4 linked regions of the Lepisosteus oculatus genome follow. Each later gene encodes a partner of the first gene's protein in a complex. Links are inferred from orthologs where the notes say so. Each region holds a gene or a part of one and is shown in the gene's direction. Other genes may lie near its edges.

Region 1 (7,912 bases):
AGTCAGAGTAGTAATATAAATATGTCTGATTATAAATAATTATACTTTTTTTTCAGGTGTGTTTGAAACAGGGCCAGTAGTCTCCTGTACCATATTTGGACTGTGGTAGCACCGTCTTCAATGAGGTACAGAGTGGACTTGTTACCAGTGAGGTATGGGACACGCTGTTATCTTGCTCAGGTATCGGGAAACCTCAGACCAGATGTCCTTCCGTTTCGATTTTATTGTGCTCAGAACCCGAAGGAAGCCGGTGGAAAGCTACCACTGCAGTCCGGTTTGCAAAAGTTTGCTAATATAAGCAGACAGTGGGGGCAAAGTTCTGTCAAGGGAGCTTCAGCCGCCATCAACAACTGGTGGGAGAAATATGAGGAGTTTGTGGGGCTGAATGAAGTCCGAGATGCACAGGCAAAAGTCACAGAGGTAAGTGGGGGAAGTTACAACTACACTGCACACTAGTACTGAGAAATAAAGGAACACGTTTTCTACAGTTCTGCCGAAATGTTGGAAGAAAAATCCCCAAAAAAGCAGTACAATGATAAAAAGTGAAACATAAAAATAGGATTTAAAAATAAATTGCTTATTTTTATTTAAACAAATAGTATACCACAATTTCTTTTTCAGTTAAATGATGTTAGACAGTTGTGCTGCATCGCTTACCTAATATGCTTGGGTCATACATTTATAGATGTACTGTGGATGTATCTACGGCTGTTGTCTTTACATAATGTGAAGGTGTTTATAAGAGAAACATTCAAAGACACTGTGCAGACCTTGGTTAATAAAGTAATAGTAAACCTTAAACCTTTAACTTGTAACTAAAATTTTGTATAATATACAAGCTACCTATAAAGAAGCCATTAGCATTTCAACTGTTCATTTCCCAATACCTTGGTTGTATCTTTTCTTTACCCAAATGCTAAATGTTTCAAATAACATTTCACTGTAGAACAATAAAAATGGTAATGAAATAATCCCCTAGGATTGGTTTCTATAATTCTACTGCTCTCAAAAGCACCTTAAGACCAGTAGATTTATAGATTCTGATATTAGATCCCCTGGAATCCTATGACAGGGGCTTAATTAACTGATTCTTAAGCTCAAAAAATGTTTCAGAAAAAGGAAAAGTCAATTGCCCTGTCTTTATTTCAGTCTTATACGGCACACCACCAACATTCATAGTAGTCATTTACATACCCTACCAATACCTTTAATAAGAAGCAGAACGTCATCCTCATATAACATTAGTTATTTGTAAATATAACATGTATTTTCTTAACCTTGATAATTAACATTTTTAATAAGTGTTTATATTACACTTTTTTTTTTCTTCTTCACATACCCTCCTATAGGAATCCTATTTTAATTCTAAAAAATGTGGTATAGCCTTTCGGGTGTTTACTTGGCTTGTCCATCAACAGTGGGGAAAACCAAATCTTTCCTCCTTGCTTTTGATAATAGACGTTTGTAAGGCTAGCCTGGACCTGTTGGTTCAGTTAGCTGCTCGTGAGTTGGAAAATGAGCGAGGGTTTCTGGGTTTCTCAGGCGGAGCAGGCTTTCATGGTGGCCAGGGGGATCGTGCGGGAAGCCCACGAGAGCCTGGAGGCCCTGCAGGTGAGGCTGAAGGAGGTCCGTGATCGGCTGGACCGCGTGTCCAGGGAAGAGGTGCACTACCTGGAGCTCGCCACGCTGGAACACAAGCTGCTGCAGGTGGGCGAGCCCGTCATTCTTTTCGCTTGATGTTAAAACGCCACTTATTACTGCTGTCTCGGTTTCCCTGTCTGCTTTCGTACTTCATGGCGCTTTTTTTGCAGAACTGTGCTGTCGGGAGCCCGGCATTAAATGATTTATAAGTACAGTAGAAAGCCCGTGTCTAAGGAGCTACATTCAGAGCGGTGTCATTCACTGCGACACGCTAGTCTGGCTCTCCGCCATTTCTGAACACCACTTCTTCTGTGACCTACATTGTCTGTCCGTTGGTGCTAGTTATGTACATTCCTCTGAGGAAATGTTTGTTGCCATTACCTTTTGACAGATTGATTTTTCTGGAGGGCATTGAGGGATTTTTTTTGAAGGCACTCTTTTCAGTTAGAGCCCCAAGAAAGGAAATCTGGAAGAGACTTCACGCCAGAACGACAGGATCGGGGAAAAAAAAACCTGATTCCACACTGGGTTATTTAAAGGGGGGTGGGAGGTGTGCTTTTGTAATTTAAGACAATAGGGGTTGACTTTCATCTTAATTAACTTCTGGAACCCTGTGCTTCATTTTGCTTCGCTGTTTTAGGAGGAGCGTCGCCTCCGTACGACCTACAGGAACGCAGAGGAGGCGGAGCGGGAGAAGTTTGCCCTGTTCTCGGCCGGGGTGCGGGAGAGCCACGAGAAGGAGCGAGCCAGGGCTGAAAGGACAAAAAACTGGTCCGTCATCGGCTCGGTGCTGGGGGCCCTGATCGGAGTGCTGGGGTCCACCTACATCAACAGAGTCCGTCTGCAGGAGTTGAAAAGCCTCCTCCTGGAGGCTCAGAAGGGACCTGTGAGCCTCCAGGAAGCAATTAAGGTGCAGGCCAGTATACATGAGTCTCAGCAGGAGGAGCTCGGCGGTCTCATTAATAGCCTGAGGGGCACTTTGCAAGGACCAAAGCCAGCCGATAAGGCAGGGACAGCTGCAATCAAGATACTTCCAAGTGCCTCTGATTCGGACTTAAAAGAACAGTTGCTTTTCAGCAAGAAGATCCATGGTTTGATTGAAGGCATCCAGCCTCAGTTAAGAAAACTGGAGCATGAGATGGGGAAGGTGGCATCTGAGCTCCAAACAGTAAAGGTGGTCATTAGGTCTCGCCCAACAGAGAACCAGCTTTTAAAGTCCCAGGATGTGCAACCCTATGATACAGAGGGCATCATGCTGGAATTGACCCAATCAGAAAAGAGACTAGAGGCACAAATAAACAGGAACACTATGTACAACACAGTTTTAACATACACTGCTTTTGCACTAACACTTCCTGTGCTGTACCTCATCTTTAAAAGCAACTGAAACAGAATTGAGGAATTCTAGATAATCTGACTATTCCTTTCAATTAGTATGTGCATAATCAATTTACAGCACTAGATAATGAATCATCTTCTGTGAATCTCTTACATGAAACATCTCACAATAGAGACTGGTATGTCAAAAGTGAAACATTGTTAAATCATTCTTGAAATAAAAGCTAGTAACATTATTTTGTGTGTGTGTGTGCATTTGAAACATTCTTAAAACTAAGTCAGAAGTAATCCCAGGTAATATAGTAGGTATGCATTAACGGTGTGTTAAAAAAATCAGAATACTTTTTTAAGGGGGAGGATTAGGTCTTTGGAAAAATAATTTGGTTATCTGTTTTGGGACTTCTTTGCTTTATAGTTGATTTTTTTTAGCCCTAGCCTAAAAAACAACATACAGTATGTGCAAAGAGAAACTAATGTGCCAAGTAGTTCAAGTAGAAATAACACCAATACACATACATAACTCAGTACAACACAGTTGAGTCTTTTATATGTTTGGAATAACGTTCAGAATTCTGCTCAAATACTTTTACAGTATTTTTTTGCCAATAAATCATAAAAAATGTCAGCACTATATATCAACCTTCAATCCAAAGAAATACACATCTATGCATATATACATTTTACAGTGAGTCTTTTCTTGTCAGATAAAAATAGAAATATTTGTGTTTTATGTTTTATACTGTAGAGCTGTGCAGACAATTTAAATTGAAAGAAATCCATTAACCCATTACTCTAACCACTTTATGCAATACAGGGTCATGATTCTACTCCAGCAAGCAATAGGTGCCAGAAAAGATACACCCTGGATGGAACACTAGTCCATCTCAGGGGCATACACAGGCACAAACACACACACACTCGCACCAGGACCGATTTTCTGAGGAGCCAATTAACTTACCAGTATGTCCTTGGACTGTGAGAGGAATAAAAAAAATACATGATACAACAAAAGTGTAATATGGAAGGTGACAATGCTGGAATATGCTGTATTAAATCAAAACAGGTTCAAGCACAACTACATAAATACGCTACATCTGAAAAATCTGTATGGTACAGGCATCCCACGGAACTGATTGTTTCACCCAGTAATGAGTATTGTTCACATCACTTCAGCCTGGGAACTTCATATTGAAACAGGGATCTGCATTCATATGAAGTCATGTCAAATATCTTCTGCTACGGGGAGATAAGACTACAATAACCTACTGTTGCTCTGGAAATGGACATGAAGTAAAGTGATTGGAGGGTGATATGTGATATAAAACGTGTGTTCTACAAACAGTTATGACATCCCTACAAAACTGAATGACTCCATTTAGAATACTTTGTCAACCATGCCATAAGAACATCTCAGTTTTGTAAAACGTACGAAGAAAGGTAAGTGGAGGTGAATGTAAAGTCCATCTCTCTGTGAAGATAATAATTAATAATTATATTAATAAATAATTAATAAATAATAATTTTGAACTGAGTAATAAAACTCCTAAACCTACTAAACAATGTTAGGCTACACTAATGTAGTCCGGTGTTCTTACGCTAATCAGAGTATGCGAAACCAACCCCCAGATCTTGCCTTTAAAGAATATAAGTGTTTTTCAGTACAAAAAGGACGCACTCCTATCAAAAGTACGGTATTGGAAAACACGTGTCTTAACTAACAGCAGCGCAACGAATCTGCTAAAGTAAAGCTACTTGCTAAGCACCTCCCCCATTTCCTGGGCTGGACTAAAAGTGGCCGGACATGGGTTCAATATCCGTGACTAATGAATATTTATAAGTCATGGACCAATCGGAAAATGCGTTCGTAGTTCTAAATTAAATATTCATACGTTTTCGCGCGCTTTGCTGTCACATGGCCATTTCGCGCGAAAAAGAGAGAAACAGCAAGTTTCCTTGCAGGAGAGAGAAAGTACCAGGAGCTACAGAATGGCCGTAAGTAGAGAATGGAATTATTTTTGTTTTACCGATAGTGAATCGCACTTTTTTTAAAAAAATTATCGTGTATATTTGAAGTGGAGAAGATTTACAATCTATTTTTTTCGTTCGGTTTAGTTAGGAATTTGAGCTTTGTTATTAGGCTTTGAAATCATTTTCATGTCCTAAACCTTAAGCTTGAGTTATTTTGCACTCGAAAAGCAGTCGTTTGGGTTAACGCTTGCTTTATAGGTTTTGTAAGAATCATTCTTTGTTAAATACTGTTAGGATAGGAGGTGAACCGGAACGTTATATACGGTGTATATATATGTGGTGTCTGGATTCAGAGTTAAAAATCACTTTTAAAATATTTACGGTTGTGTTTATGAGTTTTTTAAGAAACGTTGCTATATTTTTAATTTTAAAGCAAGTGTAGTCTAACGCGGCTTTTGGATTTTAGTGGGAAGTGAGGTGAAAAGGTTTTCATTGTGTCATTCTGAGGTTTACGTTCTAAAGTAAGGAAGGATGTTTTAAAAGTGGCGTTCCCATTATTTTAATGATGTAATTTAGAACATCATCCTCAAAATGTAACTGTGGTTAGTAGAACTACAGAAGCATTCGAGACAGTGCGCTGCTCTTTGTGTGGTAGAAACTCCCTGAGCACACTTGTTCGACTGAGCCCTGCTCGCCGGTGACTGATGAAGATGTTGGAAAAACAAACTCCAGAAGCATTAGTGTTCAGAAGGCGATTTTAGTCCAATCTGCGTGCCTTCATTTCAACTTTTAATTCCTGGTGTCCTTGACGGCCCTCGGTAACGCAAACAACGCTGGGTTATGTAAAAAGGAGGAGCCAAATATCAAATTTCTACAGTGTCTAGTCCATTGCTTTTTTTTTTTTAGGGTTCTTTGTAGGAGTTCATATATTCATCATTACTTTTTGGTCCTGTAGTGTAAAAAAAAAACCCAACAACAACTAGATGCCAACCAACAGAATTTGAATTGAGCTCATCTCGTTCCCAGGATTCTTCCGAGTCCTACAACATTGCCACTAGTCCCAGCCAGGCATCCCGGCAGGGTGATCTGACGTCCAGCCCCGGCAGAGATCTGCCCCCCTTCGAGGATGAGTCCGAGGGCTTGCTGGGAGAGGACCCCCTCCCCGAGGAGGAGGAGGAGGATGGAGAAGAGCTGATCGGGGATGGGATGGAACGGTGAGTTCTGCGCTGACTGCTTTGCCGCGATCATTGTGCACAACAAATGCATCTCGCTTTGGCATGTAGCATTTCAGCAGGTAATTACAGCGCGGTGCATTCTTTCGCGTTATCTTTTGGAGTATGGCATAAAATATTGAAATCACCACAGAGGTGAAGTTAAATTGCCTATCGGGCAGTACTTTCCTGTAGGAGTTTAAGACCAAATGTAATGGCGTTGGAAAGATCCTGTCGGAGTTATAAAGTACTGTTATTTTTGTGTTTGGTGTATGTTATTCGACAGCTAATAATTCAATTATGTGGAGTAGAACAGTGAGTTCAGTTAATTTAAAACTAGTTGCGTTATAGGATGGACAGTGATCTAGCAAGCTGCAGGATATATAATAAGCCTAATGCATTGAAAAGCTTAAAAAGGTATTGCAGGGTGTAGTATTGTGAATCATGGCAAACAGAATTATAGTGTGCTTATGTTTTTGCTAATGATGTATCACTGCATTAGTGACGGCACATGTGGGGAATCTTTGTTGGAAGAAAACTGCAATTTTAGCTGTGGGTATTAAAAGATCCTACAGGTTAATACTGTTCAGCATTCTATAGCTTTTAGAGCAATGCCTTGTTTTACCAGGAATTAGAGGACTACAGCAACCAAAACCTTTCTTAATTATTCTGTGCATATTTGTGGTCAATAAAAGGGATTGCAGGAATTTGTGTTTTTTTTTAGAGACTTTGATCACTTTTTTGATGCTTCCAAAAGCAACGTTTTAGTTCATTAAGCGTCTGTCTGCAGGGACTACCGGGCTATTCCAGAGCTGGACCGCTACGAGGAGGAGGGGCTGGACGATGAGGAGGATCTGTCGGAGCTCTCGCCCGGCGCCCGAGCCGCAGCCGAGGAAGCCATGAGGAGACGGGACCAGGAGAGAGGACTGGGGGGGCGTCTAAGAAGGGGGCTGCTGTATGGTAAGTCAGCAGTGATCCTGTAGCCCAGTGAGTGAGAAAGTCCCAACTAAATCTTCCGGTGCCCAGAGCACATTCAGTAACAGGTCTTGTCTGAGAATGACATGAGTTCATTTAATCACATTATAGACCAGTGTCATAGGGCGGAGCGGTGGCTCTATGGCTAAGGATCTGTGCCTGTGACTGGAAGGTTGCCGGTTCAAATCCCGCAGCCGGCAGAGAAATCCTACTCCGTTGGGCCCCTGAGCAAGACCCTTAACCCCAACTGTTCCAAGGTTGCCGTATAAATGGCTGACCCTGCGCTCTGACCCCAAGCTTCTCTCCCTGTCTGTCTCATGGAGAGCAAGCTGGGGTATGCGCAAAGACAAATTCCTAATGCAAGAAATTGAATAGGGCTAATAAAGCGACATTATCATTATCTTTAACAAGTAGAGGTGTCCAGAAAGGGGAGTGGATTTTCTGAGTATTATATCGCTATTATACATGACAAGAAAAGGTACTGTTGTGTACCGTTAACATAGTGTCTCAGAACTAAAAGAGGAAAAGCTCACAGTGTAGAACTGTTATTTCCATCCTAATTGAAATTGATTTCTGGTCAGAAAAGTTTTATGCCTTTTAATTCCGTTCCTATGGAGGGTCCATTCTCTTTCTCCTCATGAGGAAGGGCTTAAGATTATTCTTTAGAATTCCTGAAGATCACATTGACCCCTTTTCTGCAACAGCCCTGTATATTTGGGGGAGGATCACCTGGAAGGAAATGAGACTAACGTTTGCACTTTGCCCATTGTGAAGACTAA
Region 2 (7,594 bases), on another chromosome or scaffold:
AAAGCCCTTTCACATCGGGGCCAGGGAGAGACGTGAGTGAATGGTACAAATCGCGTGTGCATATAAAAAGATCTATTCAGTATCACATAGAAAATCAAACTGCAAACATTCTCTGTCTGGACAGTGTTCCAAAAACCCAACATGATTAATTTGTTTTTGGGATTCATCCATTCTTAGATGACAGCACAATGTAAAACAGAGCAGAGCAAGTGGGAATTTGTGAAAGATGTTCAATTTTGCATTAATATTTGATAATGTAACACATAACATATAGGAAATGGTGCAGTACGCAGTTGGGCTGGCAGTAGAGGGATATCGGTCCAGATTGGGCTCACCTTTACAAGTTCCAGAAAACCCAGTCTCAAAATTTTGTGTAAGCCTTATCTTTAAATGTCAGCATTTTCCAACTTTTAAGAATTTTTGGTTGACAGTCGGTAGTGAATTGTGGTATTTTGTGTTACTCAAAAAAAGAGATGGAAGATTGACTTCCTGAGTTATCAAGAAAGATTTTTTAAGGGGTTAAAGTAAAGGCTAGGCTTTATGCAGGGATTAGTGATAGCATTTGGGCTACAACTGGTCTTATGATCAGTATGGGATCTTGTTATGGCTATTGTAAGGGAAATGTGACAGGGCAGACAGGTATAGATTCCTGAAAAGGTTAGGAGCTTATTACTCTGAGGTCCACGAGCTGGACTCCTTGTTTGCATGGAGAGCCACTCTGGTACAGTACAACCAACTCTGAGAGCCATTGATGCCTTTAAGCCTTCTGTGTCATGGTAGAGGTTGCTGTATTGTGGGGAGAGAGCCTATTCCTACACAGGCTGCAGTGACTGATGGGTCTCACTCCAGCCCACCTTTCAATTATTGAATTCATTTAATTACAAGATGAAGTGCACAAAATAAAAGAACCATTTCCTCCCAGGTCTTAGTCAGTTGGTAATTAAATGATCCTTGTAAATGCTGCAGGAGACGCTTGTCTTTGTCTGAAGGACTGGTTAAGACCCTCTGTGTTTTCAGACTTCACTGTGACGCAATGAAAGTGGTACAGGGCAAGCCCAGGGCATGAGTGGTCAACAGCACACTGGCCACCTCTCCTTCCTGCTGGCTGCAGCTGTGAGAATATTCTCTCGCTGTGTCCCTCCTGCTGCCTGGCGTTTTATACACTCTGAGGCCAATGGGCTGAACTCACAGAAAGAACTCACTTTGTGTAAATAGTCCTTGATTGTAAATGAATGCCTGAAAAAGTCATTGAGGCTTTATGTTACTACACAACACTGTGCTTTTTCACTTCTGGAAATATTTTTTTATTGTTTTGTTGTATTTTTTAGTTTAATTTTATTTTATAAATATAAATACAGTTGTGTAGCTGGAACCATGCTCCTGTGTCCTTTGCCTTTCTTTTCTAACACTTGTTTGTCCATCTCTGTGTTTTGATTGCAAAGAGCAGGTCTCAGATCTTGGAGCATTTATGAAACACATTAAGAAGGCTACAAAAAAAGACAAGACCGTTCTAGCTAACATGTCCATTGAGTGGCTTTTGATCTGAAAAGATCATCAGGGATTCTTCCCAGGGGTATTGCTCTTCAGGGAATCCCAGGGGATCAGCTTCCTGGAGAACTTACATTATGACTTGGCAGCTTGGTTCACATGCCCATCACCCTTTGCACAGAGACCTTCACCCCCTCAGTCCTAGACACATATTTTCATGTAAATTCCACTTCTTCTTTAGCTAAGTATGAAGCAATCCATTGGGTTAACTTTACCAATGCCCTTCAGTATTCCGAATACTTTGTAGCAGGTCACCTTGTAATCCCCTCTATGTAGGACTGAAGATACATAAATCTTTCAAACTATCTGTCTATGCCTTTCCTTTTTGAACCGGGATTATTCTGGATCCTCTGCTTTGAACTCTTCTGTCTTTTCTGTCTTGGCCAGGTGTGATCAACACTACCTCTCCCTGTGCCTTTCTTACTGAGTGTGTCACCTTCACTCTGCACCCTCCTGCCTCCCTTACTGTCCTTCCCACTTTGTTGCTCTGCCTCTTCTTCCTCCTTTCCTGCCTCTGTCAACTTTCCCTCTCTCCCAGCAATGTCACTTTGCCTTGATGGAACAGGAACATGTGGGTTTCTGACTTAATGCCAATCTCTTCACCCCCAACCTCCTCCCACAAACTCCACAGCTATTCCTGAACTCCAGAGGAATTTTCAACACACAGCATGCTCGGCAAGCCCAGACCTGCTTTCTGCCCGCACCACCCTTCCCCAGGACGGAGGTGGAGTGACTGTTCCTGACAGGCAGATACAGCAGTGGGGACTAATCGTAATGTGCACTCTTACCAAGGATGAAGAAGAAGCATAGCCTTTAGGACTAAATCATAGTTTCCTCACATTCTAAATGTCTTTAAAACCCACAGGCTGCAATCCTTACTACTAAAAAAAGTTACAAATGAGAGGAGACCAACAGACCCATCTATCACACATTTTGTTCACAGGGTAAAAATAGGTGAGGGCAGCTTCGGTTGGCAGGGCCCTCAGAAAACAAAATCATCTGTGTCAAGGCCTGCGTGTTTTCCAGCTCCATACATCTGAGCCCAACCCAGCACAGCACAGACTTGTCAGGGTTAAACTCAACAGAAGCGACATGCCAACCTCACCTGACCACAGAGTCAGGCTGGAACTGAACCTCAAACTAGATTTAATGATGGCGAAACCACTGTGGCTGCTAACTGTGTGTCAGCTGCCTGAGCGAGAATGAGTGTGTGTAGGGGGTTGTGCGTATTGACAACTACAAAACAACAAGGGACTCTGGTCTACCCTCACATGTTCCAGTCAGGAAGTGCCAAGCACTTTGCTTCCCAACATATCTTCCATATGTTTAGCTGGGGGGCAGTTATTCAGATGTCCTCCTGTTATGCAATACTAACAGAACTGTTAGAGCTGGCATAAAGGATGTATAATTTACAATATCCTTAACCTGATACAAAAACACATAGGCAACCACACTCTGTCCCATCTGGAGCTGTGTGACACTAAGGTGAGCAGTGTGGAACTTTGCTCAGACATTGTGTTTACAAACAGGGTGTGAGAGTCTGCCACAAATCTGACTTCCATTCAACCAAAGCCATACTTTTCGTCTCTTTGTTAGCTAGATGTATGTTTGCCAAGAAAACGCAAGCATATTGGAAGCTGGCACTTTGTTGATGCCTGTTGACAGTAGGGGAAGCAGACGTGTAACTATACATAATCTGAATTACTTTGCCAGACTGTGTTTGAAAGAATATTTATACAAATACATTTTTAATTATGCAGTGCTTTTCTGCATCTAGATAGTATCTTTTTAATCTGCACTTTTGAACTTGTAAAATCCCTTTAAAAAATGGGAAGCAAAATTTGGCTGCACAGTGTAGCTCTATTCCCGAATACCCGGCCTGGCACAGCGATACTGCCTTTAACACTCCCTTGTTGTCTCAAAATCGGGTACTTCTCTACGGGTGAATGAACCGGTTTACTGAGTAACGCAATCTGTTGCATTGTACGGAGAAACTGCGTCATCTAGTGGACAAATTATGTCATGGCGTGTATATAACAATCGTATGCAGTCTTTCATGTAAAAAGATCGGAGGATTCCGGTAACAGAAATTAGAAGAACGTTTTCCCCGTTTTTCAGTTGAAATAGTATAAATAATACCCTGAACGTGGTGATTGTTTTAAAGTCATATGTCATGAAGCGCCTTGGGCCAAACTTGATGAGAAAGGCGCTATATAAAAATGCATTGAATTGAATTGAATATGTATTTTCTATTTTACACAGCTCTTCACGAGTGACAGTTAATTTGGGATCGATTTGTAAGGGTGGATTTAAAATATATTGTAAATGCCGTTACTCATACTAATTCTGTTACTTCTAGGAGTGCAATCAAGCTACTATCTGTAGCCCGATTTAATCATATTTCAGGAGCTAAGCAAAGCTGCCCCTTAAAAAAAGAGATGGGAGACCACCAAAGACATTAATGAGTGAAAATGTCTCTTAATAAAATTGTCAGCCAACGTAATAATATACATTCTTTCAGAATTTCCTAGAGGCCCTTAATTTTAGGAGTCCCCTCTCCTTCATAAAGCACTTTTAGGTCCTTTGGAATGAAAAGCATAACGCATTTAACGAATTTTATTTAATAAATAAAAGTACATAAACTGTACATGTACATGATTTTTGTTGCTGACAAGTATCTTTGATATATATTTTTAATTTGGCTGACAATTTTATAAATAGACATTTTCACTCATTCATATAACTGGATATTTTGTTAGAACAATTTGTTGAAGTATCTTGCCTAAAGTGACAACAGCAGTAACTCACTAGAAATGTGAACAACCTTCCAGATATGAACCCAAAATCCTAGTTGATTGATCAATCTATTCTATTTTGTCTGAATTAAAAACATACAATATATCCAGCTCCTGCCCGCTCACTACAATGTTGATAACTGGACGTACAGCACAAGCACATGTTAAGCTCGGGAGAGCGTACGTAGACATCTCGCTCTAGGACCTGCCCAGGAAATTACCGGGAGAGTGACGTCATTACGTCAGTGTACTGTGGCGTGCTTGTATTACGCGCGAAATTTGTCCTCACAGAGCAATAAGAGAAAATCAGATGGAGTGAAGAAGCATCGAAATAATACAGAGATTTGGAACTCTTACGTCATATAAAAAGAGGACGGAATTTATCATTGTTCGCGATAAAAGTTAGTTCTTAAAATGTTTTTGTATTCCTTATTTTAGGAGTACATTTTCTCGTAATTGGTGGTATGTGCTGTCTTTCATATAGAGAGGCGATCTGAAGGTTTGCGACTTGGCGGGGTTCAGTTGTTGGAAGTACAGAAACAGTAACAGGAAAAAAAAAACAGGAAATCTCAATTGCTCGTCACACCAGCTTTGCGCGGGTAAAGTACGCTTTAATTCGGGGTTGATTTGTAGTTTACAGACGGTGAAGACTTACATGCTTCACACCGAGGGAAGTTGGCGAAGCTGGATACCTTGTTTTAGAAAATAAACTGAAGTAGCATCGAAAGCGACCATGTCTGAACACGCAGGCTACTCTCCGAGCTTCAAGAGACCTGCAGACACTCTGCGGTTGCGGAGGCAGCGACAGCGCTCCCGCAGCGAAGTGTTGACCTCTGGCGGCTGCAGCTCCGGGGCCAGTCCGGGGGGTGCGCTTTCCGGGATCAGGCCCTTCTCTCCGGGACCCCTTCTGGGCTCCGCGGTGCGCACGGGTGGCCAAAAGCGCAGGAACCCCTTCGCTAGCATCGAGAACACGTACAACAGCCCGAAAAAGAGGGCTGTGGAGGACTGCCAGGGGGGGGACGGACCGGCGGGGTGCAAGCCCCCTGTGGAGGCCGAGGGAGAGAACGGTCCACAGGGACTGAGCGTCTTGGAACGCGGCCTCTGCACACGGCGTGTTCTTGCAGAGACGCACAGCCGAGAACCCTTCAAGGTAAGAAGTCCCTTTCTTAATGCAGTGTTACTAATACACTACACCAGCGTAATCACTTGTGTTTAGAATCGGTGATGTCTCACCCTGATGCGATTTTAAATAAGAAAAATTACATTATGCAAGTAAACCCAATGTTTAGAAATGAACATCTTTTCATATTTTCAAAATATGCTGCAGAGTTTATGAGTTTAGGTGGTGTAGTATAGGAATTTACATTGAGTGCAACAGTGCAAGTGATTAATAAAATGCACACTGGGAGAGTAGTAGGACAGTTGGCATGTCATGGCCTCTGAATGTCCACTCTTAGTGGCAGTTTCAAATGAGGGTGTTGCCTGCAGTCAGTGAAGGTGACATCTCTTTTGCACCTGATATGTAGCTGCTTTTTCTTTTAATTTCCAGGTGGAACTTTCTCTTCCAGAAGATGATTCCCTTTTGGAGAGAGAGCTGTTTTCAAAACAGACAGCTCGTCCTCACATTTACTTGGTCAGTATGTTTTTGTTTATGATGGTTTTGCTCCTAAGCAGGAGTGGTTAGTGTATTGCTGCCTCTCAGTGCAAATGCCCTGGGTTCAATTCTGGACCTGGGGTGTTATCTGTGTGGAGCTTGTATGTTCTTCTGTATTCATGTGAGTTTCCTCCCACAGTCCCAAAACATATTGGTAGGTTAATTGGCTAGTGGGAAAACTGGCCGTGGTGTGAGTGTGTGCCCACGATGGACCGGTGCCATCCAGGGTGTATCCTGCCTTGCACTTGTTGCATGCTAGGATAGGCTGCAGCTACCCTGAATTGTAAGATACGACTACAAGATCGTTGGGTTTTACTCCAGGGTATTTTGCCTTCCAAAGACTGTTGAAATGCATTTTGTAAAGTCTGTAGAAAGTAGTGTTGTTAGTGCTTTGGATTCTTAACCAGAAGCATTTCCTAACCTGTAGACATTGATGTTGCATGGAACAATTTGTTTCCCAAATTATTCCTGTCCCCCAGTACTGTATACATTAGTACCTCTGGTATAAGTACTAACGCTGTGATGGATTGGCATTTTTCATTCTCATTTTTCAATTCTTGTTCCGCTTTTGTTCCAGTTCCCTAAATGTAAAAAAGGAATTGGAATTGGTGAGAAAAGGGGTTTGGGATTGAAAACTGGAACTGATCCCTGTGCTCCCACGCTCAGGACAGCCATTTTCCCCCAGACCAGTTTAACTTCGGCAACCTGGGAGGAGCTCCAGCCTGATAAACCTCTGGGCTTGAGAAAGAAAATAGTAGAATCTTCTTGTTTGGCTTGATGTTTGCAACAGTCTAGTGTAAATGGGGGACATGGTGATCGCTCGCAGTTGTCTGTACAAATAACCTCACCGCATCCCCTCTCTCCCAGGACTCTGAGGTCCCAGCTGTGACCGCGGCCGCATCCGACACTCCCTGCACTCAGTTCCCTCCAGATTGGAGCCTCAAGACGCGTCTCCTCTTCACCTCCCCTCGCCCCTTTGCCTGGGCAGAGAACCTCAAAGCACAGGAGGAGGCCCAGGGATTGGTCCAGCATTGCCGTGCCACCCATGCCAACCTGCTGTCCCACAATCAGGTACAGAGGGTCCACACACCACAAATTTCATAACCTGCAACGTTGGGGGGGGGGGGACAGGAATTTCTTTTTCAATTTGAAGAGATTGGCTAAGAGTGACTTGTTTTTGATTGTAGGAGGTGGCAGTGTGGGTAGCTGTTGAGCAGTGGGTCAGTTGTTGATAATTTCTGTAGATGATAGAAGTGAGTGGTGATATTAATTGTCTGGGAGTGTTTAGTGTATCAGGAGGAGGGAACTCAATGCCTGGCATCCAAAACATCCCATTGAAAATTGCCCACTGTGCAGTAAACATCCAGTAAGTACGTTTACTCTGCAGTGCTGCACAATGCAGTAAAAACAATTTACAGAGCAGACAGTTGTTGCCCAGTTGTATATTGCCTGTGTTTTCTGCTTTGTAACTCCCCACTCAAGGGAAACTCGAGTACATTGAAGGGGTACCTACTTGTTTCACTAATGTTGACTCCATGTGTGTCTTGCTTTATTCAGGAACTGCAGAACAGCCCAGATTTGCGCTGTGCCTTCCAGC
Region 3 (7,156 bases), on another chromosome or scaffold:
ATAAGAACAGATCACTTCATTTGGCCATATACAATTTCTTGTATCAGGAATTTGTCTTTTTGCAGACCCCAGCTTACTTTCCATGAGACACTTTGACAGGGAGGGAGAAGCTGGGGGTCAGAGCGCAGGGTCAGCCATTTATACAGCTCAATGGAGTAGGATTCCTCTCCCGGTTGCGGGATTTGAACCGGCAACCTCCCAGCCACAGGCGCAGATCCTTAGCCAGAGTGCCACCGCTCCGCCCAAGGAATGAATTGCCTGTCATCTTATCCAAAGGTATTTGCTCTGTAGGAATATTCTGTGGAATTACTCCTGTGGAAAGCGTTGTCATTTTAAGTAGGATCTTTCTCCAGGCCTTAGTGGTACTTGAACCCATGTCTGAAACTGGAAGGATACACTGCTTTGGGGTTGGTGATGTCGAGGAAGTCTGGGCTCTGGGGTTGGAACTTTGAGTACGTTGCGACCATGAGATTCACACTCTCCACCTGGACCAGACCTCCTTCCTCCAGCAAAAGATTCTGCATCATCTGAAGGAAAACAGGCCAAGCAGACAAATAAGTGAGGGCAGGAAAGGCAACCAAGTCAGCAGCTTTCATTGAATCAATCACCCAGCTCTTACTGCCTGGGCACAATCAATGTTCACTGTAACCATGCAACATGAAGCAGTTCTCGGGGCTTTATAAATAAAAGTATGCAAGTGTATGCTCTTTTACTCCAATTGCCAGATCGACAATAAAACCAACCCCTTTTACTTTAACAGACATTTTATAAACGTTCACCTACAGTTTTTTACTTTCAATACCCGAGTAAAAACATGAGAAAGGTTACAAATAAGAAAAAGCAGTGGAGCTGATCCAGCCTCTAGATTTCATCACTGACTGATCTGAGGATCTCCACCAGCTCTTTCAGAAAAGAACCCTCAGCAATAGCTCATGCAAACATGTCTCTCACATTGTTTGTTATGTCACATGACATAAAAAGACTTTCAATTCACACAATAAAAGCTATTAACAATACTATTTAATACAGATGATTTTAAAGCGGAATATATTTTTTCAGCTTTACCAAACAGAAATAGCTTTACCAAAGCAAAGTTACATATTTTATTAAAACATTTTAAGAAGGGGACACTCACCCAGTGAGGCAAGTAACAGATTCCTTCGTCCGCGACAAACTCCAGCACTCCGCAGTGCGTCATGCGGTCCGAGTTCTTATTAGTCAGCTTGAACAGCATTGGATAGGTGATGTTGAGACGACCTGAAGGAAGACTCGAGTTAAACTGTGCGTGCCCGACAAAGCAAGGCTCTTACGGATCTGTTTTCCAGACGAAACTGCTAGTTCTTCATTACCAACACAGACGCACATGGCAAACACAGAACATATTTTTATATATTACATATTTTGTCACTGGCGTACTTACTGAGCTGGTCCAGCGCAGATGGAGGCATTATAACTAGAACAAAAAAAGAACAACAAAAGCTTAGCATTGCTGAAATACATTTCTTTTACTATGCTACATTATGACATAATAAGGAACAGGTAAACGTTTTTTTCCTCGCTGAAAAGAAAAAAGTGAGACAAAGTTTTGGCTGTGGAGCCTTCTTCAGCTGAGGAAGAAGAAGGCTCCACAGGCAAAACGTTCTTTTTGCAGCAGGGAATAAACCTTTACCTGTTCCTTTGCAGCCTAAGCATCCTGCTGCAGCTCCCTACCTGAACTTATGACATAATGTCATATACTGTATCACATTTATATTATGCTATGTTCTGTGGCAAGATGTTACAGTGCAGTACAGCTGCTCAGCAAGCCTGTCAGAAACTGAGCTTTTCACCCTATTGGCGTTCTAAATGGGTGGCATCAAGCCAGCTGCCCAGACCCCACGCTGAGGACCGGGCGACATCTCAGGAGACCCAGCAAAGCCTCCCCTGCTCTTACTTTTCCCTCCTTTCTCGACGTCGGAGCGGTCGTTGGGCCCGGCCAGCATGGAGACGGAGTAGCAGCGGTACTGTGTGGAGAACCGGTTCTGGAAGGCCCGTGGAATCGGGTGGTCAAACATATTGAAGGAAAACTGAAATGAGAGGACAGAACGATCAGCCCCCAGAAAACAACAACGAAGGTTTCATCTCAATAGGTGTGGAGACAGCTGGTTGTACAGGTATACAGCGTGGTTCCACTCACACTTCTCTGACCAATCTGAAATCAACTTCAGCTCCAAATACTACTTTCAGAGATTCCATTCAGATCTAAAATATTTTCGCAGAGACCTGGACTGTCATTGGAGCTCCTGTCTTTTATTATAATAATAATAATAATAATAATAATAATAATAATAATAATAATAACTGCTTACACTTATATAGCGCTTTTCTGGACACTCCACTCAAAGGTCTTTACAGGTAACGGGGATCCCCTCCACCACCACCAGTGTGCAGCCCCACCTGGATGATGCACCAGTCCGCTCCCCACACATCAGCACTCAGTGGGGAGCAGAGCAGAGTAATGAAGCCAATTCAGAGATGGGGATTATTAGGAGGCCATGACTGGTAGGGGCCAATGGGAAATTTGGCCAGGATGCCAGGATTACACCCCTACTCTTTTCGAGAAACACCCTGGGATTTTTAATGACCACAGAGAGTCAGGACCTCGGTTTTACGTCTCATCCGAAGGAGAGCGCCTGTTAACAGTATAGTGTCCCCGTCACTATACTGGGGCATTAGGACCCACATGGACCGCAGGGTGAGCGCCCCCTGCTGGCCCCACTAACACCTCTTCCAGCAGCAACCTGTTGTGAGTTGCAGAGTGATATAGCTGCAGGCCATTTTACAGCCTATTGCCATTACAAATACAGGCACCCTGGTGTTGTTCTGCTCTCGCACAAAAAGCACAACTTTCAGACCTGGACCATGTGGGAGAATGTCAGGTCCTTCGTCAGGAAATGTGATTTATATAAAAGGAGCAGCATACTGGCTACTGCTTTTCCTGCTGACATCCCAGATCAAGGATGTCCAGTTATGGCTCTGGAGATCTACCCAGACGTCTGGTTTTCAGTCTAGAAACCAGGTTTCTTGACTGAGTTCATAACTGGCTTGATCAGTAATCAGGCTCTGTTGACTGAAACTCCGGGCTCTACAACTGGGGCAGGAGCACTCGATTTGCCTCTGCTTCTCCCCACCATCAGGTAAAAGGGCACCAGAGTTTTGCCCCCGTTTATAACCGCTCTTGGGGTGGTATCTCCCCGCAGGCCCGAGCAGCCCTCCCGACCTATTTTTTTGGTCGTCAAAAGCACGAAGTCAGTCCCTGGCAGATTGATGTCAACTTTCTGTTGCTGCTCAGGGTCTCCAAAAACCTTTATTCCATTCCGCCGCGGGTGCAACCCAAACACTGCTGTTCTCATTTACGTGCAGACAGAGAGGATGACACCTATCTTGATATTTACACCTACGCCACAACGCACAGGGCGGAACGTCGCTCGAAGAAGAGTGGTCTTTCCAGTGTTTACATCTTTATGTGAACTTGAGAAAATAAACTCGTCTTCAGACGTCTGCTGTCATCACGACGCCTGGTTTATTAACAAATCTGTCCACATCTCGGGAACTTGTAACAGTGACGGTGCATCTTTCTTTCTGTACAGCTCTGGCGCTGTAGTTCAATATGCGACGTATTAAACACAAAACCACCAATCCTTCTGTACTTACCATGATGAACTCTTACTCTTTAGGGTACGATGTTTAATGAAAACAAATGGTTTCAACCAAAGAAGAATAAAGTGAACCTACAATCGACCATCTCCTAATAGCAGAAGATTATTAAGAGGAGTTTGTTCCGTAACCGGGAAGTAAATAGTCGCCAAGGGAAGTGACCCGAGGAGAAACAACAACCAATCCCCACGTCGTTTCCAAAGTCAATAACCAATCATTTAACAGTACACCGCCTCTACGTAAGTGATTGGTCTAAAGTTTTGTTTTGACGTGACGTCACACCAATCCGCGTAAAATTCTATGGCGCATCGTCTACCTGTGGTGGCGAACCATTGGCTTGTTCCAATAACCTATCAGCGACGAGTAGCTGAAGGATCTTAACTCTGATTGGCTAGATCGATCTGTTACAAGCCAATAGGAAACAGGAGTCCATCAAACTGATTTGGCGCCAGGTTTTTAACAAGGAACGGAAGATTCTGTATCTCTGAAGGAGTTGGTGTATTTTAAATCAATTTATACGTTTGTACGAGTTATTTTTTAATTTATTTAAAAGGTCATTTTTATTTTTTTTTATTCCTAGTCGTCGATAGAAAGGGGTTTGGAAATGTTCGTGTCTGATATTCGGAAGGAGTTCTACGATGTTGTTGTGAATCAGGTAAAAAGATCCCTTTGTGTCGTAGTGCTCAATTATCGAAGAGAGACTATTAAACGTGAGGGTTTCGTTTTAACGCGGTGTATTGTAACGAATTCGAGAGGTATTAAGGGTATTAGTGCCAGTTAATGGTCTTCAGGAGTTCCATATTTATACTTGGGTGTTTTAGCAGACGTTGGATACTTAGTTTGCCTGTTTTTTCAGGGGTTGTCATAACTCGCCCAAAGAAAAACAATGTTGCACTATCTTTTTAGGGCGGCAGTTTAAACAGGCGACCGAGAGGGCGATTTATTTTTCTATTTTAATAGAAGGAAGGTGTTTGGTGTTATTTACCTTCGTGTTCCGTGTGAGTGTTTACATATGACATCTGTAGGTGTTAATAAAATATCGTCGCTTCATGCGAAGATGTGTTCTGTAATTGTCTTTATATTTTATTGTTGTTTTTCCTTTTTCAAGTGTTTTGTCTTCTGTGTTAGATCAGTGCCTGGCCCATGATCAGGTCGACGTTGGCAAAGTCAATCCGTCATCAAGCTGACTTGCTACAGAGCATTATTCTTCCATTATATACAGTGCATAGAAACTTAATGACAGGTGTAGCCTTGTATTTCCTCAATATAGTGAAGAATAGGAGGTCTAGGTTCTTTATTCGGGGCCCACACCAGGCCGGCCCGAAGAAAGCCGCATCCTCAGCTCAGCTCGGCCACAGATTTAATATTTTTTCTCTGTTTTTCCCCCCACCCGTGATCCTCTCCCTCCCTGTTTCTCCAGAGGGTCGCTCTCCTGGTCTCCTCGGACATTGACGCGCTGTGCGCCTGTAAAATACTGCAGGTGCGTATTTAAGAGTGCAGGAGCGTTCTCTGAGAAGTGTCCTCTACAAGGTGTTTTTGTAGACGTTATCCTCTTTAGAGCCTGTTTGAGAACCATATAGGGGAGAAAGAGTCCTTCGTCAGGAAACGTGCTTTATATAAAAGTTGCTGCATACTGGCTACTGCTTTTCCTGCTGACATCCCAGATCAAGGATGTCCAGTTATGGCTCTGGAGATCTATGATCTAGAGATCTGGCAGTCCATGCTCTAATAATGCGTTCTGAGTGCACCTGTGCGAAATCGGATTCAAAGCCCAGGGAAAGAAAGGCGAGATCCAAGAGTATCAATTTAGCTCATCTTTATTAAAGCAGTGTGGCGCAGTAATTGGGTACTGTAACACTGAACTTTGCAAGTCTGATCTCTTTCACTTGAGAAGCACGGAGGCCGTAGGTCAGTTGTTATCACGCAAGCGTGCACAGGGATGTGCTAGTCCTCACAGAGTGAGCCATTAACTGTTGATAACGGGCCAGGACAGCTGGAAACCCAAGAGTCTCCTTGGACACAAAGCGAACCGCGCTGGGCGTGAGTTACAGGTTTTGGACAAATAATGCCATGTCACCACCGTTCAATCTCAGGCTCCCAGGCTAACTCCTGAGCCAGCAGATCGCCCGCTGTAGGATCTGTGATCTGTCACTGTTGCCTTGCGGATCTTCTCGAAATGCAAATAGAAGAAAGAGTCCCAGTCCATCTCCCCCAATCCTTTCCAGCATCTGACACGAACTTTCAACCCGTCAGTCTGTGTGTGAATGATAAGGACGGGTCTTTATCGACGTAATCCCTAACTGCCGATGGAGGTGTTTCATCAGTTGGGAGGTAAATTTAGTTCCCTGGTCAGTCAGACTTTGTTCAGCCTGCACGGTCACTGACTTTGGCTTTTGATGCCGTTATTGGGCAGCTGGTATCCTGCACTATTTTCTCCAAAAGTCCAGTTGTTTCCACACTGAGGATGTTTCCGTGTTGCTCAGCGGACGCTGTCAGGTCAGGAGTCGGCCGCCTCCCGTCCAGGCTGCCATCGCTGAAGACGGGATCTCCAGACGAGGCCATGTCCGGAGGACAGAGCACAGGGCGATTCGGTGCCCTGCTCGGGGGGAGACTGTAGCAACTGTGTGGCTGAGACACGGGACCTGAGTGGGGAACCTCCCAGTCACGAGGTCTTTAAAGAGAAAATGACCTGCGTGCTGTTTTTCCTTTCAGGCTCTGTTCCACTGTGACCATGTTCAGTACACGCTGGTGCCAGTCAGGGGCTGGCAGGACCTGGAGACAGCCTTTCTGGAGCACAAGGAGCAGGTCAGGATCGTGGCATAATGCTGAGTTTGTGAGGACAGGGTGGTATTTACTGTGTTCTCCTATTTTAAAAAGCGGGATGTTGAGGATCTCTCTGGTGGTAGCTGTTCCTGGATGTTTTGCACCAGAAGTTGACATTTGTAAGGGATGAATGGGAGGAAACCTGTCTATAAACTGTAATAAAACTAACAGGCTACTGCGATCCTGGGTTCGAATGTGGGTCACGTCGCCAGCCGATTCCTCAAGTAGCACATACAGTTGAGTGGGATTAGTCACCCTGTCTGTAAAACAGTGCCCCTTTCTGTCAATGAGGGATGCGTACTGTGTTTAATCCCATCTGTCTCAAAGGTGGGGAAGTGGGAGGAGTCTGCCTTGACTTCCTTATTCTCCCCCGTGTGTGGTCGCAGGATTCATAGCTGTGAGCTGAGGTCTGAAAAACGTTAGATAAAAGCATTAGCCCAAAAATACATAAAACTCCTACAGTACATTACTTTTTATCAATAACATTCATTAATGTGTTTTAAAAAGTCAGAATTTTACTGGTAGCACAGATCCTGAATCCTGATAGGAGCCCGTTCCTTGCCCAAACGCATGGGCTTTGATGTCTTGAGTTTTTCCCCTGGGGTGCTCAAGCCTCGTCTTTGTGTTGCCTCGCAGT
Region 4 (7,696 bases), on another chromosome or scaffold:
TTACTGCCTGCGCTGTAGTTTCGCAGTCAGTCACTCAGTGTGCAAGGCAGCAATTATATTAAAAGACACAGCTGTTTTTCCCAGCTTTTCCTGACAGTCTTTTCCGTGCTCTAAGATACCTGTTGGGTTTCAGTTCTCATAGAGCTGGGCTGAACTGCTGAAGCATTGGGCTGTATGAAGGTGAAACAAACCTGCAGTTCCTTCAGTCTTTCAAACAAAGAGAATTGTGATGGCTGAACTTCCCATAGCCTGAGATGGTCTTCTAGATGTCATTACTGTCATCGGGCATCTTGCACACAAGCACCTACCACTCATAGATAAGACAGTCAGTATATGTGGTTCAGCTGGACAGCAAACCCATTGAACTGAGTGCTCAGTAATTACTGATATAGGAATAACTATTATACCCCAGACACGTAATGTTGTTGACTGCTTTTAGCGACTGCTGTGAAGACTGGATTGAAGCGCAGAAGATCACGGCTGCTCTTCTGGAGGGCAGGTCGTACGAGAGCCTGGTGGACTTTGACAATCACCTGGATGACCTGAGGAATGACTGGACTAACCCCGAGATCAACAAGGCCATCCTGCACCTCTGCTGAGGGCTCCAGAAGCAGGAACACTCTTCAGAGCCATTGCTGCCCAACAGAACTGGGATCTTTTTGCTTTTTGTTCCCCCCCGTGAACTGTTTTTCATGAGCAGAGCTGTCTGTGCACAGGCGACGCTGACTAAACAATGAGTGTTTAGAAGAGGCCAGAAGCAGGGGTACCCGGTATCACATCTTCAGTTTTAATGTGATGGAAAGTAATCAGGTTTCTATTGAAATAACAGGTATCCTTCAGACAGCTGTGTATGTGGAATCACGGGCGTGGTGAGTCGTAGTTTCTCATGGCTGTTTCTGTGTAAACTTGTGATGTACTGCTGTTCGGGTGCAACACTACTGCTGTACTGCAGTGGCATTAGTAATTAATAGTTAAAAGACTATATTGAAGGGATTAATTAATTAAAAATGGTTATTCCGGTAATGTGCAGATTCAGATGATTAAGACAAGAGGTAGACTAATTGTATTCCTGAAATTACAATTTACAATTAATTTTTTTTTATTTGATAGCCTTGCCTGTAAATTAGATTTCCTAGTGTGTATAAGTCATGTTGTTCCTAGAACTATTCTTGAGTGCTTCCTGTCCAGGTTTAGGAATAGCATTTGTTGTTAGAATTCCATCATGTATGATGTTTAAAATTGTATTTCCGAATCAAAATTGTCATTGCATTTTTTAACCTTTTAACCAGACTATACAGAAAACTAAAGTAGTCATTTTTGACTTATGTAAATGCTGCTTTTGACCATTTCCTTTGAATATAAAGATTGACCTGACTTTTTAGTCTATTAGACTAGCACATGACCACAGGGAAATAGATCTTTCTACTGAGAACCAGGAAACGTGAGTGGAATCTTTGGTGCATCATTTCATTATCTTAGAAGACTTAATTGATACAAATTCTTTAAAAAAATCAGTCATTTTTATAGTCCTAAGCATCATAACTGTTTCACCTGAATTACGTAGCTGCAGCAATTGGCACCACAGATTCGTCTAAATTTAGGAAATTGTTTAACCTGTTTTTTTCTTTCAAGTTAAATGCTAATTTTAAAACACCACAGTTAGATACATTTTTGTTGTGCTAGAAGAATTCTTTATTGACCTTCCTGGAGCTTCTCCCATTCTGTGTGCTCCGGAGGTGGCTTTGGGAATGCAGCGCTGAGGAAAAGGTGGAGCGAAATGAATGGGGGATGTTTTCTGTGGTAACGGCCTTCAGACAGGGGGCCTGACAGGACAGCATTGTCCATGGCCATCACTGTGGACACACAAGAAAAATGAGTAATTAAGGAAATTAACTACAGAAGTGTGGAATTTACTACCAGTAATGATAGTCTCCATTTACTCTAAACTGTAAAAGCCATCTCTTCCATCTCATCATAGGTCATCACTTCAGTTTTGCCAGTGAACATTATCTACTTAACGGTTAACTAGTTATTGGCCAGATACTTCACACCTGTCCCCAATCAAATGCTGGCATCATGAACTGTGTAATTTGCAGTTGGCAGGCTGGTTCAAAGTTTTGTTTTAATCTGAGCTTTTAGCTCAACATGTGAACAGCCATGTTATCACATTGATGTGAATGTCTACAAGAAACATTATTATCCAGAGTGATAATTCACAATATGCACAATTCTCTTCAAAATGCAATATTTCCTAAGATCCTTAAATAGTATGGGTATGTATCAATAGTTATCATAACCAGCATGAAAAAAAAAACAGATTTCTTGGACTAATAGCTGCAGATGAGGACAGTCTACTAATTTGTGGTACAGTATGTCTGCCAAAGTCATTTAAATGTAATAGGCATGGAAATGCTCAGGATTTTTATCTTATAGGATTCATATTCATTCTGGACCCTGAAAAACTCAACAAGATGTTGATTTTGAACTGTTTGAAGTTGTTGAAGCCTTATAAAATATTTAGTCTTGTGTTTGAAAACCTTAGTGTTATTCAATTCAATATTCAAATGGTCTGGGAGCCATTGGTTTGCTAAAAATAATTTAGAAAATGTTTAAGTTTTGTGTGTTATAATTTATATGCATTTCATAACCTCAGAGTTAATCCCATGTATTGTAGTCTGGTATTTTAATTCCCAATTGCTGTATAAATCTGATAAAGTCCAATCGTTTTATCTTCCAGATCAGGTTTTAGACCACAGTCATCTTAAAATGTAAATTAGAACTAATAAAATGTTTTTAAAATCTAGGTTATTTTTAATTTTTTCTTTATATGATATACCTTGTAATTTGTTGAGGTGCTGTAATTACAGACTACTAATTAAAGCAAGATGCATATTTTTAATCCTAAAATGTTAAAAATCATTGAGCATCAAAAAAGCGCTTGGCTTTAATATACTATTTATGCATGTATATTTTTAGAAAAATAAAGTGTATGGATTTTAGAGAAAGATGAAAAGCTTTCTGCATCATTGAGTTTGACCAGGTGGGCAGCACAGTAGTGCAGTGGGGAGCATTGCTGCCTCACTGTGTGGGACTGGGTGCTCTGTGCATGGAGCTGTATGTTCCCCCATCCTCGCATGCCTTTCCCAGACATGCTGGTAGATCAGCTGACTCCTGGGAACACCGGTCCTGCTGTGAGTGCGTGTCTGTCTGCCAGGGTGTGCCCTGCCTCATGCCCATTGCTTGCTGGGACCGGCTCCAGCTCCACCGCGACCCTGTATTGGAAGAAGGTGGTTAGAAGATGGATGGATGGATGATTAATTCACTGTACTTTTGACCAAGTTACACTAAATCACCTTATCAGTGAGGTGAACCAATTAGGTACAGGTAATGAAGTAATTAAGAAAGTCACAGAAAGTTACTAATATACTCCACACATTAAGAGAACAAAACCTTAATAATAATAATAATAATAAAAAAGACTGGAATAAGTGAACTGTTGCTTACCATCCAGTAACTTCTAGTCTGACAAGACAATACAGCCAAACAGCCTGTCAAATGCAGGCCAAGACACTGAGCCAGGAAGCCTTGTTAGTATTGATAGGGCAGTCCAAGTCTGATGATCTAGCCAGAAATCCCTAACCATTGGTCTGGAGAGCCAGAGAGCCACATTCCAGCAGGCTTTATCAGTAGTATTTAATTAATCCATTTCTAAAGGCCTGGAAAAAGTTAATTATGATCAATTAAAAAGGTGGTGTTCAATTAAATAATACAGAGATCATTTATAACAAAAATGTCCTTTCCAAAATATTGCTACAAGCAGCTCCTTTTTTAAATAACTGGTTAATTAGCATTTAAGGAGCTGGTAGCTCTCCTTTAGCTGCTACAGAACTCTTGAAGCGAGAGATGGAAGTCTTACTACACAGCTCTACACTGATCAAGCCTGGGAACATAATTTGGGTCCCTTGCTATAGGTCACCCTGACAACTTTCCAGCGTGACAAGGCACAGTCATCGGTGCACCTTTAACAAGAGATTTCTTGTAAAATGGGAATATGTTATGATTTGTCCTGCTGGTGAGACATGATAATTTGAGCTGGGATGATGTAGTGTCTGGGGTTATTTATCCTGTTTGTAAATGAAGCACAAAAGGCAAATATGTCTAAAAAAGCAACCGCGTTCTACTATAACGTTCCCGATTTTCTTTATCTTAACATTAGGCCAGTTAGCATCTTTTTTTTCTGGACAATTCTCTAAGCTACAGACGTGACGGGCACAATTAGGAGAAATGCCCAGGCTACCACTTGAGTAGATTAAAGGGTTTTCACCATTATCGCTGTATAACAGGTAGGTTTTCAAATAATTTTCAACGCGACGCAAAACTTTGTTTCGGAGATGAACAAATATTTATTAAACGTACTAAGATGCTGAAAAACTCAATAACATAAAAGTTATAAACATACAATTATGTTAATAGTGACTATTAATGATAAAAACGTAAGTCTGAATAATTAAAAAAATATGATTAACTTCACAGTAACCTATAATTAACATAATATAAGTTTGAATAGCTAAGAGTTTCCACGGGTAATAATCGAAATCGAAGGGCTGCTACAACAGGAGCCGGACTTCCGGTTCCCCCGTGACTGCCGACAGTAAAAACCTTCACTTCCGGGTCACAGCGTCATCGTCAGAATTCAGCGCGGGAAACTTGTCGGTAGACTGTGGTAGCTGGTGAAATATAATTTAAAAGTCTGACTTGCGGATGGATCCTTCAGAGGTAGAGTTCTTAGCTGAAAAGGAGATGGTGACCATAATTCCGAATTTCAGTCTAGACAAAGTCTATTTGATTGGGGTAAGTACATAAATGAAAGGGCGTAGCAGTGTAGTTAAGAATGCATCTGTATTGTGGTGTAGAGTATCCGTCCGGTTAGATACACATTTGACAAGCAAATGACAGAACATCTCTTTACGTATTCTTTTTGCTTACAGTAATAATAATGATAGACACAAACTACGTGAAATAGCTACAGTTAATGTAATGATTCCTTCTTTAAATCAATCGAGATTAAAGAAACCCGTATGTTTGTAGAACGCGATTTTAAACCGGGCTGAAGCGAGTGAATTTAAATCAAAATGCGAATTTGGGACGGTCGAATCACAGCTCTGTCAATTTTGACATGTAAAATTGTTTTGATTTTAAGCGTCAATAGTTCTTATTGTCCTGGTAGGGGGACTTGGGTCCTTTCAACCCCGGTCTGCCCGTGGATGTGCCTGTCTGGCTGGCTATCAACCTGAAGCAGAGACAGAAGTGTAGAATCGTGCCCCCCGACTGGATGGATGTTGGTGAGAACAGCTAATTTGTCCGGTTATGAAAAGATGGATAGATGCCACTGGATGTATTTGTTTCCTTTACATGTTAGCCTTTAGAATGCATTGCAGTTAATTTGCTCTGTCCACTTATTACTTAATGTCTTTCCCTTGTAGTTCATCTGTTATTATTAACGTGTTTAGTCGATTCTCAGTTAATAATTCCTTAGACCTACAATTTATAGCTTTTCTGGATACTCCACTCAAAGCGCTTTAGAGGTAAATAGTCTTCTCCACCACCACTGGTGTGCAGCCCAGTGTGCTGGATGTGACGGCAGCCGGAGTGCTCCAGTACTCTCCCCACACACCAGCTCTCAGAGGGGAGGAGAGCAGAGTGATGGAGCCAGTTCAGAGAGGGGGGTTATTAGGAGGCCATGACTGGTAAAGGCCAGGGGGAAGTTTGACCAGGACACCAGGGTAACACCCCTATTCTTTTTTGAGAAACTGGGATTTTTTAATCACAGAGAGTTTGTACCTTAGTTTTACGTCTCATCTGAAGGATGGCACCTTTTTACAGTTTAGTGTCCATCTGTCGCTATACTGTGGCATTAGGACCCACACAGACCACAGCGTGAGCGCCCCCTACTGGCCCCTCTAACGCCTCTTCCAGCAGCAACCTCAGCTTTCCCAGGAGTCTCCCATCCAGGTACTGGCCAGGCTCACCCCTGCTGAGCTGGTTGTCAGTTGTGAATTGCTGGGTGATATAGCTTCTGGCATAATAAAGAGATCTCTGGTATTTGAAATCTGAATAGTCCATCCATCTTGTGTCCAGATATTGTCTAAATTAAATTAACAATTGCCTCTGACAGATTGGTAATAATGAGGATTGTGTATCTCTAGTCTCAGCAACGGACAACTCTGTATTGCTTGTTTTAATCAGTTTAATAGGGAGACTTTATAACTCTGTGTTTACCAGAACAGTTTGAGATAGAATGGGATTTTAAAACCACATTCAATTGAAAGACATTAATGTGTAAATGCAGCTTTATGTCTTTTTTGAGATGTAAATTTGCTCCTAATGCCTGTGTCCCATAAAACCTAACGTGGCGTTCAGCTTTGGAATGAATCTGTGATGGTGCAGCTGGTCATGCTGTCTGCCTTGTTTGGGGGGTTAGCTGTGAGAGAGCGTGTTCAGTGTCAGCCCTTGTCTCTACTGCAGAGAAGCTGGAAGAGATCAGGGAGCAGGAGAGGAAAGTAGGGATGTTCACCCCTATGCCCAGTCCATACTACATGGAGCTGACCAAGTTACTGTTGAACCAGTGAGTATCGCTGCACTCTCGACCTGTGACACAAGACCCTTCCTACTCGGTCATGAAGCTTTAAAGAAATAGCTTTTCCTCTTTGCTTGAGCAACATGCAGTGCCAAGCTCAAGTATTCATTCCTTTCTGATGTAGTATGTATGTACGTTTATTTTAAACCGAATGTTTTTCACCACAATTTGAATACACGTAATATTTTGGGTAATGAAAGCTAAATATCAGCAGAAACTGCCATGAAAATTGGAGACTACAATCTGTTGACTTCACGAATACTCACCCCCTCTGTCCCGATGCTCGGTGAATGCTGTGAGTCTCTGCCAGCTGTGCACACTGGGCTGCTGCAGTGTTTGCTGTTCTTCCCTGGAAATGTGCTTGGCCTCGGTTGAGCTGCTTGGCTGAATGACCGCAAGTCTTCAAGTTTTCAGTCAGACTCAAGTCAGGATTTTGGTGGGGTCGACCAAGGACATTCAGTTTCTACTTTTGCCACCACCCTATAACTTTGGCCTCATGCTCGCGAAAGGTGAGTTTTGTGTCCCAGTGAAGAACATTAGAACTGTTGCAGAGGAGAGGAGATTATTCAACCCATCTAACCTTCTTGTTAGTTTGTAATTGATTGATCTGAGGATCTCATCCAGCCCTTTCTTCAAAAAAGCCAGGAGATCTTCAACCATATGGCTGGCTAGCCTGCTCCAGGCTCACGCTATCCTTTGGGTAAAGATGCTCCTCCTCTAAATGCACTTCCCTGCATCTTGCACCTGTGGCCTCTGGTTTGTTTCGCTCTTTGTGCTGGAGAAGTCCACTGGGCCGAGTGTGTCCGGGCCTTTGATGATTCTGAATACTCGTGTTGGGTTCCCTCATACCTTCTTTGTTCAAGACCGATTTGCATAAGAAACAAACAAAAACAGTTTATTGAATCCTTGCTGTGATTTGAAGTGGCATGTGGGATTACAGAAGGTTTAAAGAAATATAATTTTCAGATATGTTTTTCAAGAGGAACACACGTGCATCTTAAGACTGCAAGCTTTCATTTGTCTGCCCCCGTAACTGTCCTTTAAGCTCTGGACACATGC

What was found.
Region 2: mcm2 (region 1) and protein downstream neighbor of son homolog share a complex: the UniProt entries of both Homo sapiens proteins name them as parts of the replisome complex. The link is inferred for Lepisosteus oculatus from reciprocal best matches to the Homo sapiens genes MCM2 and DONSON.
Region 3: mcm2 (region 1) and cdc45 share a complex: the UniProt entries of both Homo sapiens proteins name them as parts of the CMG helicase complex. The link is inferred for Lepisosteus oculatus from reciprocal best matches to the Homo sapiens genes MCM2 and CDC45.
Region 4: mcm2 (region 1) and gins2 share a complex: the UniProt entries of both Homo sapiens proteins name them as parts of the CMG helicase complex. The link is inferred for Lepisosteus oculatus from reciprocal best matches to the Homo sapiens genes MCM2 and GINS2.

Annotation. Positions count from the first base shown.
Region 1 is NC_090699.1:59,492,442-59,500,353, reverse strand, and holds the start of mcm2 (DNA replication licensing factor MCM2), read left to right. Parts: upstream 1-4,895; 5' UTR 4,896-4,965; coding exon 4,966-4,971; intron 4,972-5,973; coding exon 5,974-6,161; intron 6,162-6,948; coding exon 6,949-7,118; intron 7,119-7,912. Other genes in the region: ccdc51 (mitochondrial potassium channel), read left to right, coding at 121-420, 1,543-1,707, 2,282-3,028. UniProt on the Homo sapiens protein: Acts as a component of the MCM2-7 complex (MCM complex) which is the replicative helicase essential for 'once per cell cycle' DNA replication initiation and elongation in eukaryotic cells.
Region 2 is NC_090708.1:28,968,404-28,975,997, forward strand, and holds the start of protein downstream neighbor of son homolog, read left to right. Parts: upstream 1-4,581; 5' UTR 4,582-5,076; coding exon 5,077-5,493; intron 5,494-5,892; coding exon 5,893-5,976; intron 5,977-6,864; coding exon 6,865-7,068; intron 7,069-7,554; coding exon 7,555-7,594. UniProt on the Homo sapiens protein: Replisome component that maintains genome stability by protecting stalled or damaged replication forks.
Region 3 is NC_090717.1:1,234,191-1,241,346, reverse strand, and holds the start of cdc45 (cell division control protein 45 homolog), read left to right. Parts: upstream 1-4,149; 5' UTR 4,150-4,300; coding exon 4,301-4,351; intron 4,352-5,116; coding exon 5,117-5,176; intron 5,177-6,408; coding exon 6,409-6,501; intron 6,502-7,155; coding exon 7,156-7,156. Other genes in the region: ufd1l (ubiquitin recognition factor in ER-associated degradation protein 1), read right to left, coding at 397-527, 1,136-1,257, 1,421-1,453, 1,934-2,066, 3,694-3,696. UniProt on the Homo sapiens protein: Required for initiation of chromosomal DNA replication. Core component of CDC45-MCM-GINS (CMG) helicase, the molecular machine that unwinds template DNA during replication, and around which the replisome is built.
Region 4 is NC_090715.1:16,818,203-16,825,898, forward strand, and holds the start of gins2 (DNA replication complex GINS protein PSF2), read left to right. Parts: upstream 1-4,682; 5' UTR 4,683-4,761; coding exon 4,762-4,851; intron 4,852-5,227; coding exon 5,228-5,342; intron 5,343-6,525; coding exon 6,526-6,625; intron 6,626-7,696. Other genes in the region: emc8 (ER membrane protein complex subunit 8), read left to right, coding at 440-599. UniProt on the Homo sapiens protein: Required for correct functioning of the GINS complex, a complex that plays an essential role in the initiation of DNA replication, and progression of DNA replication forks.